2 linked regions of the Arabidopsis thaliana genome follow. The protein of the gene in region 1 interacts with the protein of each later gene in a pairwise test. Each region holds a gene or a part of one and is shown in the gene's direction. Other genes may lie near its edges.

Region 1 (5,830 bases):
GTCACATCATCTAGAAAAGCAAAGTAATTGAAATTTATGAAGAGTAGAATAGAGAGATACACATTAGCATATGTAATGTAATAGTTTAAGTGACATTTACATTTGATGTAAAACAGATTTATTTAATATATGGAACTTTGATTCAGAGTTTCTTTTGAAATTTGAGTTATATATATAGAGAGAGACTATTAATCAGCATACAAACAATATATAATTTTTAACAGAAACAATTAAAGATAAAAACTATATACACGTCGGTTTACAAATGACTCAAAAGAATAAGATTTACACGACAGAACTTAACCGATGTTAAGATTACTAAAACCGACGCAAACGTTTCGACGTATAAGTAAGCGTCATTTCCTAAAGTTAAGTTAATTATATTAACGTCATGCAATGTTACGACGGTTTTTAAACCGACGCTATTATGTTAAAGTCAGTTTGAAAATGACGTTAAAGTCAATAATGACCGACGTCAAATACCGTTTCTCTTGTAGCGATCATAATTTGGAAAGTGTTGATCATATAACAACATATACTTGGATATTTTTTTTAAAAAAAGTTAGTGTCAAAACAAACATGGATCATAATTTGGAAAGTGTTGACTTAAGATGTTACCTTTTTTTTTGTGCAAAAAGATGTTACCTATACAGTATAAATACTGAACAAGTTTGATTGAAATAGTTATCAACATATACTTGGATATTTTCCAGGATTAAAAAAAAAAAAAGTTTAGACGAATTATGGGTTCTCTTGAGACATGCTTACTTTTCTTTGTAATGGTTATGTTTATGAGTGCAATTATGTCTCGAGCCTCGACGAGTGTAGTGATTTATAATGATCTTGGAGGTGGTTTGCCACTACGGCACCACTGCAAATCAAGAGAGGATGATCTTGGATACCAGAGTTTAGCACCAGGTAGATCGTGGTCGTTTGGATTTACACCGGATATTTTTGGCCGGACTTTGTTTTACTGTCGTTTTAGTTGGGGAGCTGAGAGTCATATATTTGATATCTACAAACAGAGTAGAGACAAAGAATTTCAAGAGTTTGGTTGCAAAAAATGCGAATGGAAAATACGGAAAAATGGACCTTGCAAGTTTTATAAGAAGACCGGCATGTTTGATCATTGCTATTCTTGGGATTAATATCCTTATTTTATAAAACATGTCGTAACTATCAATCTATGTCTGTCTACTTCTTCTTCTACCTTTTTTTTTCTTTTTTGTATGAGGTAATTGTGTCTTAATATGATATTTTATGGTTTGACCTACAATTCGTTTTCTTTTTTTTTTACTTGTTAATGACACAATTATAGTCAAATAATTTTAGAGCGAAGTAACAAAACATTATAAGAATATAATGTGAACTACAATGAGCTTTTCTTTTATGCTTAACGTTCATTTTTTAACAAAAAAAAAGAATTATAAATAAATAGAGAACAAGTGTTGATCGAAAGAACAACTATGTAAATTATACATTTGTGCTTAACTAAACGCATATCGATTAGAGTCCCATTTCATGACCCCGAAACTCAATGAGTCAAACGTAGTGCACAATCTAGTGTAATTTAAAACCAGAAAAAAAAAAAAACTAGTATAATTCGACATAACCAAATGGCATAGTTAAACGCATGTTGGTGAATGGAGGAAACTAAACCCGCGTGGGAAGGCTTTTCTCGAGTAGTGGAAGTGAAATATTATCTTAAAACATATACTTTCAATGACATAAATTGGTGAAGATTTACTCCCATAAGTGAAATGCATTACATCTAGAAACTTATCTCTTTTATATTTATTTCCGATTTAGCAAAAGAAGTAAGTAGAAAGTCTATTGAGTCAAACCCAAATTTTAAAAAAAATAATGCAAAGAACTTGCATATAAATATTTTACATTATAATTTGTATTAAATTTTGATTTAGTAAACATATATAACAAAATTTTCATCTTTCTTTTAATAATATAGTTTTTAGTTTGTTAGATTTTTTTTTTTTAATTTGGGCAACACAACAGTTGTGTAATAGTATAGGCAAAGAAAATGGTCGGACAGCTAAGGGAAGATCGCTCTCTCCTCATCAGACAAAAAATTACAAGCGAGAATTTCTTTGTTCCTTTACGACCGGACAAGACACGTCCGTCATCGTCTTCTACTACTTTCTATCTTACGCCTCTCCCCTTATCCTACGCCAAAACATCTTATCCTGCGCATCATCCCTTCCATTAAGACCTAGGGTTTTCTCTCTCTCCCATCATTCTCTTCTCCCGATCTCATTTCCATTACCCAATCCCGCTCCTTTTCTCTGATTTTGAATCGAACCCTTAATACCCAGAAATCTCACGGTTCCGAGGAGTGGGTTTTTGGGGGTTAGGGTTTTCGAGAGATGTTGAATGTCAGGTTCATTGATGAATCTGTTTTCTCTCTGCTTCAAGCCATTCGGGCACGTCTGTGATAATTCCGAAGCTGGATCGGGTGGTGGTGGTGGCGTTTCTGGTGGAACCGGCGGTGAAGGCAAAGACGGATTGCTTTGGTTCCGTGATCTCGGTAAATATTGCGGCGGAGATTTCTCCATGGCTGTGATTCAAGCCAATCAGGTTCTTGAAGATCAGAGCCAGGTCGAATCCGGTAATTTTGGGACTTTTGTTGGTGTTTACGATGGTCATGGTGGTCCTGAAGCTGCTCGTTATGTCTGTGATCATCTCTTTAACCATTTTCGAGGTTCGTAATCCGATTCTTCATTGACACAGTGATTCGTCATTTTGACATTCGAGCTTGAGTGTTTTGAATTGGTTTTTTGGGGAAATACATATTTTAGATGAATCCGTTGACTTAATTCTGAACTTTTTGTTCAAATCTTGGTGATGAAGATGGTGATTGGTCAACAAAGTTAGGTACTTTGACTTTTTAATCTCGTTGGGGTATAATTAGGTTCCCATTAAGCTAAATGCAAGTTTAGAGCTACAGTCTTTGCATTTAAAAACTGTGTTTATTGACTTCAGAAATAGTAAAACTTTAGATATGAGTATGCTCTTTGATATATAGGAGTATTTGTAATGCAGTTTGATATATAGGAGGACTCTTTGCATTTCGCATTCCTGGTTCTTTGAGATTGTTCTTTGCCATTTAGATAAGGGTCCCTGGCTTTTGCATTGATGGTGGAGTGTCATGAATATTACCAGGCTTAAGCAAACTAGGAGTGCACTGTAATTATGAAAGGAGGTTGAGCCTCTCTTATGTTTTGATTGCTCAGGCTTTATGGTTATGCAGAAATATCAGCGGAAACACAAGGAGTTGTGACGAGAGAGACGATAGAAAGAGCCTTTCATGCGACAGAAGAAGGATTCGCTTCCATTGTGTCAGAGCTGTGGCAAGAAATACCAAATTTGGCAACTGTTGGCACTTGTTGTTTGGTTGGAGTGATATATCAAAATACTCTTTTTGTGGCAAGTCTTGGAGATTCACGGGTTGTTCTTGGAAAGAAAGGCAACTGTGGCGGACTCTCTGCTATTCAGCTGTCGACTGAACACAATGCTAACAATGAAGATATTCGTTGGGAACTCAAGGACTTACATCCTGATGACCCGCAGATCGTTGTGTTCAGGCATGGAGTTTGGAGAGTTAAGGGCATCATTCAGGTAGTTTCTCATTCTCCTGCCATCCCTTGTGATGTTAATTTTCCAAAAGAAAAATGTAAAATTAGTCACTTAGACATAACTAGGTTCCTTGTTGTGTTAACTCTCTTTGGTTTCGCAAACTTTGACATATCTACCTTATGCTTGTTTCGGAAGAGCTAAATCATTTTTCTTCTCTCTTTTTTAGTCTTTGAGCGGTTTGGCCTTTCTTATAAGCTATAGAAAAGTTCATTAGAGGTCTGAGAAGTACAAATCTTTAAAAAGTTTTGAGAATTAGCAAGTAATGAGGTAGTGCATAAGCAGAATTAGCAAGTAATGGGTTTCTGATGAACTCCATACATATGTACTGAACAAGCTAAATATATGTCTTACGCTCTTTGTGATGTCTAGTTACCAATAATTAATCATCTCTACCATGCAGCTCTTAAGACTTTCTGATGATTCCCTGTATTTACTGTTCAACTTTGATTCGCTGTTTATATAGGTATCGAGGTCTATAGGAGACATGTACATGAAACGGCCCGAATTTAACAAGGAGCCAATCAGTCAAAAGTTCAGAATTGCAGAGCCAATGAAAAGACCCTTGATGTCTGCAACACCAACAATACTCTCTCATCCTCTGCACCCTAATGATTCGTTTCTCATTTTTGCATCTGATGGTCTTTGGGAGCATTTGACTAACGAAAAAGCAGTTGAGATTGTTCATAACCATCCCCGTGCTGTAAGTTTCTACTTTGATTTCTCTCTTAGATGGCGTTTTTGGTCTAGATAAGTTTTAGATTGCAGTTTTAAGCGAGTCAAGTCACAAGAATCCTCATTATTACAAATTCGTTAAATATATAAATGATTTCTTGCATTGTGTGTTTCTCTCTATGTTCAGGGAAGCGCAAAGAGACTGATAAAGGCGGCTCTTCACGAGGCAGCGAGGAAACGTGAGATGAGATATTCAGATCTAAGGAAGATTGACAAGAAAGTGAGACGACATTTTCATGATGACATCACGGTTATAGTGGTGTTCTTGAACCATGACCTCATATCGAGAGGCCACATCAACTCAACCCAAGACACAACAGTCTCTATACGGAGTGCTCTTGAACACTGAGAATCCCAAACATTTTACAACAATGTTTCTTCTTACTTGATTATATGACTTTTGCCTAGAATGAATAAAAAAAAGGCAACATATGGAAAAAACCAAAAATGAAAAAAACAACATCATTATCGTACGTAATGAGTTCTCTCTTGTATTAAGCGGCTATGTTTGACTTTTGGTGTTTCTCTTCAAAGTTCTGATGAGTTCCAAGTCTTTTACTTCTTGCCGTTCGTCAAAAGTATGTAATGTAACATAGCCGTGTAACCATACTATTCTCGAATGTAACATCAAGTCTCTAATCAAAATTGTTTTGGTAACTTATAATTATTCTTCATTCCCGAACAGTGGTTATTCTTCAACATTTCTAGGTTTAACTTTATTGATCAAAAAAGATTTTAAGATGCTCTTGGATTACTGTTTCGATATTTATGTGCCACAGTTGTCAACTCTTCATACTATCTCAAATTTGCGGTTTCGGTGAAATACTTAATTTTCGTACGGATTTGATTTGGAGAACAAAGTCGTGGAGCAACGTTTGGCTTCAACATTTTACTTATGCAAGACTTAAATGTTAGTTCTGATTAAATGGATTCATGGACCTTTTCTAAAAAATATCAAATACAATTCCATAAATCTATAAAGTTCTTGTTAATACTAAAACCTTTGAGAGTACTAATGAAAGAAAAATCAGATTAAGCTTTCTAGGCTGCATTATGCATCAAAAAGAAGTTGAATGTCAATCAACAACTCAGAGCCCAGTGCATATTCATCATCTTTTCCTTCTTAGACCCTCAACAATTATTCTAGCCAGATAAAAAAATTGAAACAGATACAAAAAATTATAAGGATCCTCAGAGTAAAAATGCTTATAGCTTTTCATCAATAAAAAATCAGGTCTCAAAGATTTCATGCCATCATAGGATCCTTCAATAAGCTTTTTTAAAAAAGAAACGATAACTGATTAGGATATAGCACGAGCTTATTCGCTATGCCTGGTTAAACATAGACGAAGCGACTCAACGCCCCTGCAATAATCTATCGCCTCACGAATAAAATCGATGAAAGAATCATCCCGTAGATATTGAATACTCTACAGGAAATTCAATC
Region 2 (3,194 bases), on another chromosome or scaffold:
ACACGAATAGGATCGTTGGGACTTTGTAAGTAGCAAAAACTAACATTCATCTTTTACTCATCAACCTCGATTGTGATCAGTCATTTGGTTTACACAGTGGATACATGGCTCCAGAGTATGTAATGCACGGACAGTTCTCGTTCAAGACAGATGTTTACAGTTTCGGAGTTTTAGTTCTTGAGATCATCAGTGGTAAGAAAAACAGTGGTTTCAGCAGTGAGGACAGCATGGGAGATCTCATCAGCTTCGTAAGTATATTACATGCAAAAGCATTGAGATTTGATCAATAACTGTTAATTCACTTCACTGAGTTCTGATGTTTTGGTAAAGGCTTGGAGAAATTGGAAGGAAGGCGTTGCTTTGAATCTTGTGGACAAGATTTTGATGACAATGTCGAGTTATTCATCGAATATGATCATGAGATGCATAAACATTGGTCTTCTTTGTGTCCAAGAGAAAGTTGCAGAGAGACCAAGCATGGCTTCTGTTGTTCTGATGTTAGATGGACATACTATTGCTCTTTCAGAACCATCAAAACCTGCATTTTTCTCACACAGCAATGCGGTATCAGATAGTTCTTCTTCTTTAGGACATAATGCAAAAACTTCAAACTATAATTCCAACACTGAGTTGTATCCTCGGTGAGTTTGTTTGGACACTGAAATTAAGATTTTCAAGATGATGACTAAATGATGGTTTTGATTAGATTTGAGTCCAACTCACTGTAAGTGAGGAAAAAGAGTGTTACAAGTCTCTGTTTCACTTTCAAGGAGAGATGCTGTTTCTAAGTCATCTCATCTCTTGAAGAAAACTAATTGGGAAAACAAAATGTACAAAAATCAATGACAAAAGTAAGGTTATCGAGTGAGTCATGATCAGTTGAAGCGAGAAGCAAGATCAATAAAAATTTCTTCACTGCAAGGGATTGTGAGGCCACCCATTGGATGATCAAATCCAAACTCTTCCTCTGCCTTTCTTAATAGATCTTGAAATGAAGGCTGGTCCAAGTACGAAACCGGAACTACAAATCTCTTCATATTTTGTTCTCCTACGTAAACCGCTAAGTAGCCTTTGGGAACATCAAGAGAGCTAGAAGAAGAAGATGATGACAACAGTTTGGCTTGTCGGAGAATCTGCTTCGATGATTGCAGCACACGAGGGATTCTGATCGCCATGGATTGTCTTTAATTGTAAGTTAGATGCTTTATTGGAAAATGTGAGAAACTTGCAGAGCAGAAAGGAGTCAGTGATGAGTATATATAGATAAGAACATTACTTGTAGATAACCCTTTATTGGTTTCAAAAGTTTCAGCTCATAAATTTTTACACCAACAAGCAAGCACATGGCTTTGCCGGACCACGGCATGATAAGTAAGGGCCCTATAGTGATCAATCTTCATGATTTCTGATGTGAAGACAGAAATCAATATGACCACTTGTTTGTTAGATAGACACTATAACTAGTCAAATTTTCCTTTCTTGCCACAGAATTTTTTTGAAGGCTTTTGTGACTTTGTCAGTATATAATCAAATCATGTGGTCCTGTCTTTTGAATATCATTGAGAAGAAGGTATGACTTAATCAGTGATAGAGACTTGTGGTTCATTAGGTACACAACTTCATGTCCCTACATAATCTATAGAGAGATTTGGCATGTGATGTCTTTGAGACAAATAAGCCCCAATGAAGTTATCATGTAGGACATCATTAGACACTAACTTCTCAGACACCATTTATTGATTTGTTCTTGGTTTAGTATCTACAACCCAAAGCCATGTGCTCTGTAATTAAAAAGAAAAACCTCAAAAATACTTAATCATTTCTTTCATACGTTCGTTTATATAACAAGTAACTAAACCCCTTTAGATTCACAAACTAAAGAAGATCCAATTTTAAAATCTCAAAGCTTTCTCCAAGACTAAGAAACATTTAAGCTTCAGGAAAACATAAGGGAAAATATGGCTTTTTTGAGGAGTTTCTTGGGTGCTAAGCAAATTATTCGAAGGGAATCATCGTCGACACCAAGAGGATTCATGGCGGTCTATGTAGGAGAGAATGATCAGAAGAAGAAGAGATATGTGGTGCCGGTTTCATACTTAAACCAGCCTTTGTTTCAACAACTGTTGAGTAAATCTGAGGAAGAGTTTGGTTATGATCATCCAATGGGCGGCTTAACAATACCATGTCATGAATCTTTGTTCTTCACAGTCACATCTCAGATACAATGAAGTACTATACTACAACATTTCCATATTTTTTTTAGATTGTTAGCTAATTTCCCCTGGAGATAATTGTAAATTGTTTCAATGAGAGGAATATACAATACATAGATCGTAATTGATCAATGCGTATTTGCATGTTAATACATTTGTGTCTTGTACCAAAAAAAGGAATTATACATTTGTGTCATTTAACTCTGGACACCATACATTTCGTCATTACAGTGAAACGGCAGAATTTGAACACTCATTATTCTGGTTGGTAGTTATTTCCATATTTCTCAAAGAACATTTATGTGACTATTATCATTCCTTGCGACAACTGTAATAATGAGAAAACTTGGTATTTTTTTTGGCTCTTCATATAAGTTGTTTAAAAAATGTATTTTCAAACAATAATTAATAGTGGCCCAAACATAATTTAAAATAGGTTTCGAAGCCCAAAGCCCATAAATTAAACGCCTAACATTCACGCGCTCTTTGACTATGGTTGCTTAGGAACAGATGCGCGTGGGGAAGTTGGCACCGTTTTTTCTCTTGCTTACATCTATTTTTTTTTCTTAAACGTCTATTTATTTGCTTTACGTCATTGTAACGTTTGTTTGTTTTCTCTGTATCGTTAGTTGTTGTACACTTGTACTATGGACGTTGAAACCTGCCGGTTAGTCCGGTTCAGCTAGCATTTTTTAAATGTACATCTATTTTCTTATTGAATTATGTGTATAATGTTATTATTCTCTGACTATAGAGTTAAAATATGTTTTTGTTTTTTGGATGACAAGGTTCAGTTTATTTAAAAAACAAAATAAATCTAACATATATTTTTTCTTATACATTCATTGCATTTTATACATTTTTCCATGTCAAACAATTAACTTCCAATATAACGTATTGTCCTCCCCGAAATATGAAAAAGATTCAAAGTTTACAAGTGAAGGAGGGGGCCCCTATAAGAACCAATTAAGCCTCATTAAA

Evidence for each region.
Region 2: the proteins of AT3G17090 (region 1) and SAUR15 interact in binary tests that used the Arabidopsis thaliana proteins (3 or more experiments, as listed by UniProt).

Annotation. Positions count from the first base shown.
Region 1 is NC_003074.8:5,824,596-5,830,425, forward strand, and holds AT3G17090 (Protein phosphatase 2C family protein), read left to right. Parts: upstream 1-1,990; 5' UTR 1,991-2,388; coding exon 2,389-2,716; intron 2,717-3,265; coding exon 3,266-3,633; intron 3,634-4,114; coding exon 4,115-4,351; coding exon of another isoform or gene 4,352-4,355; intron 4,356-4,510; coding exon 4,511-4,732; 3' UTR 4,733-5,305; downstream 5,306-5,830. Other genes in the region: AT3G17080 (Plant self-incompatibility protein S1 family), read left to right, coding at 744-1,148. UniProt on the Arabidopsis thaliana protein: Dephosphorylates and represses plasma membrane H(+)-ATPases (PM H(+)-ATPases, e.g. AHA1 and AHA2), thus influencing negatively plant growth and fitness. Promotes the apical hook maintenance of etiolated seedlings.
Region 2 is NC_003075.7:18,124,299-18,127,492, forward strand, and holds SAUR15 (SAUR-like auxin-responsive protein family), read left to right. Parts: upstream 1-1,758; 5' UTR 1,759-1,958; coding exon 1,959-2,228; 3' UTR 2,229-2,531; downstream 2,532-3,194. Other genes in the region: CRK26 (cysteine-rich RLK (RECEPTOR-like protein kinase) 26), read left to right, coding at 1-25, 98-248, 331-645; AT4G38840 (SAUR-like auxin-responsive protein family), read right to left, coding at 876-1,175.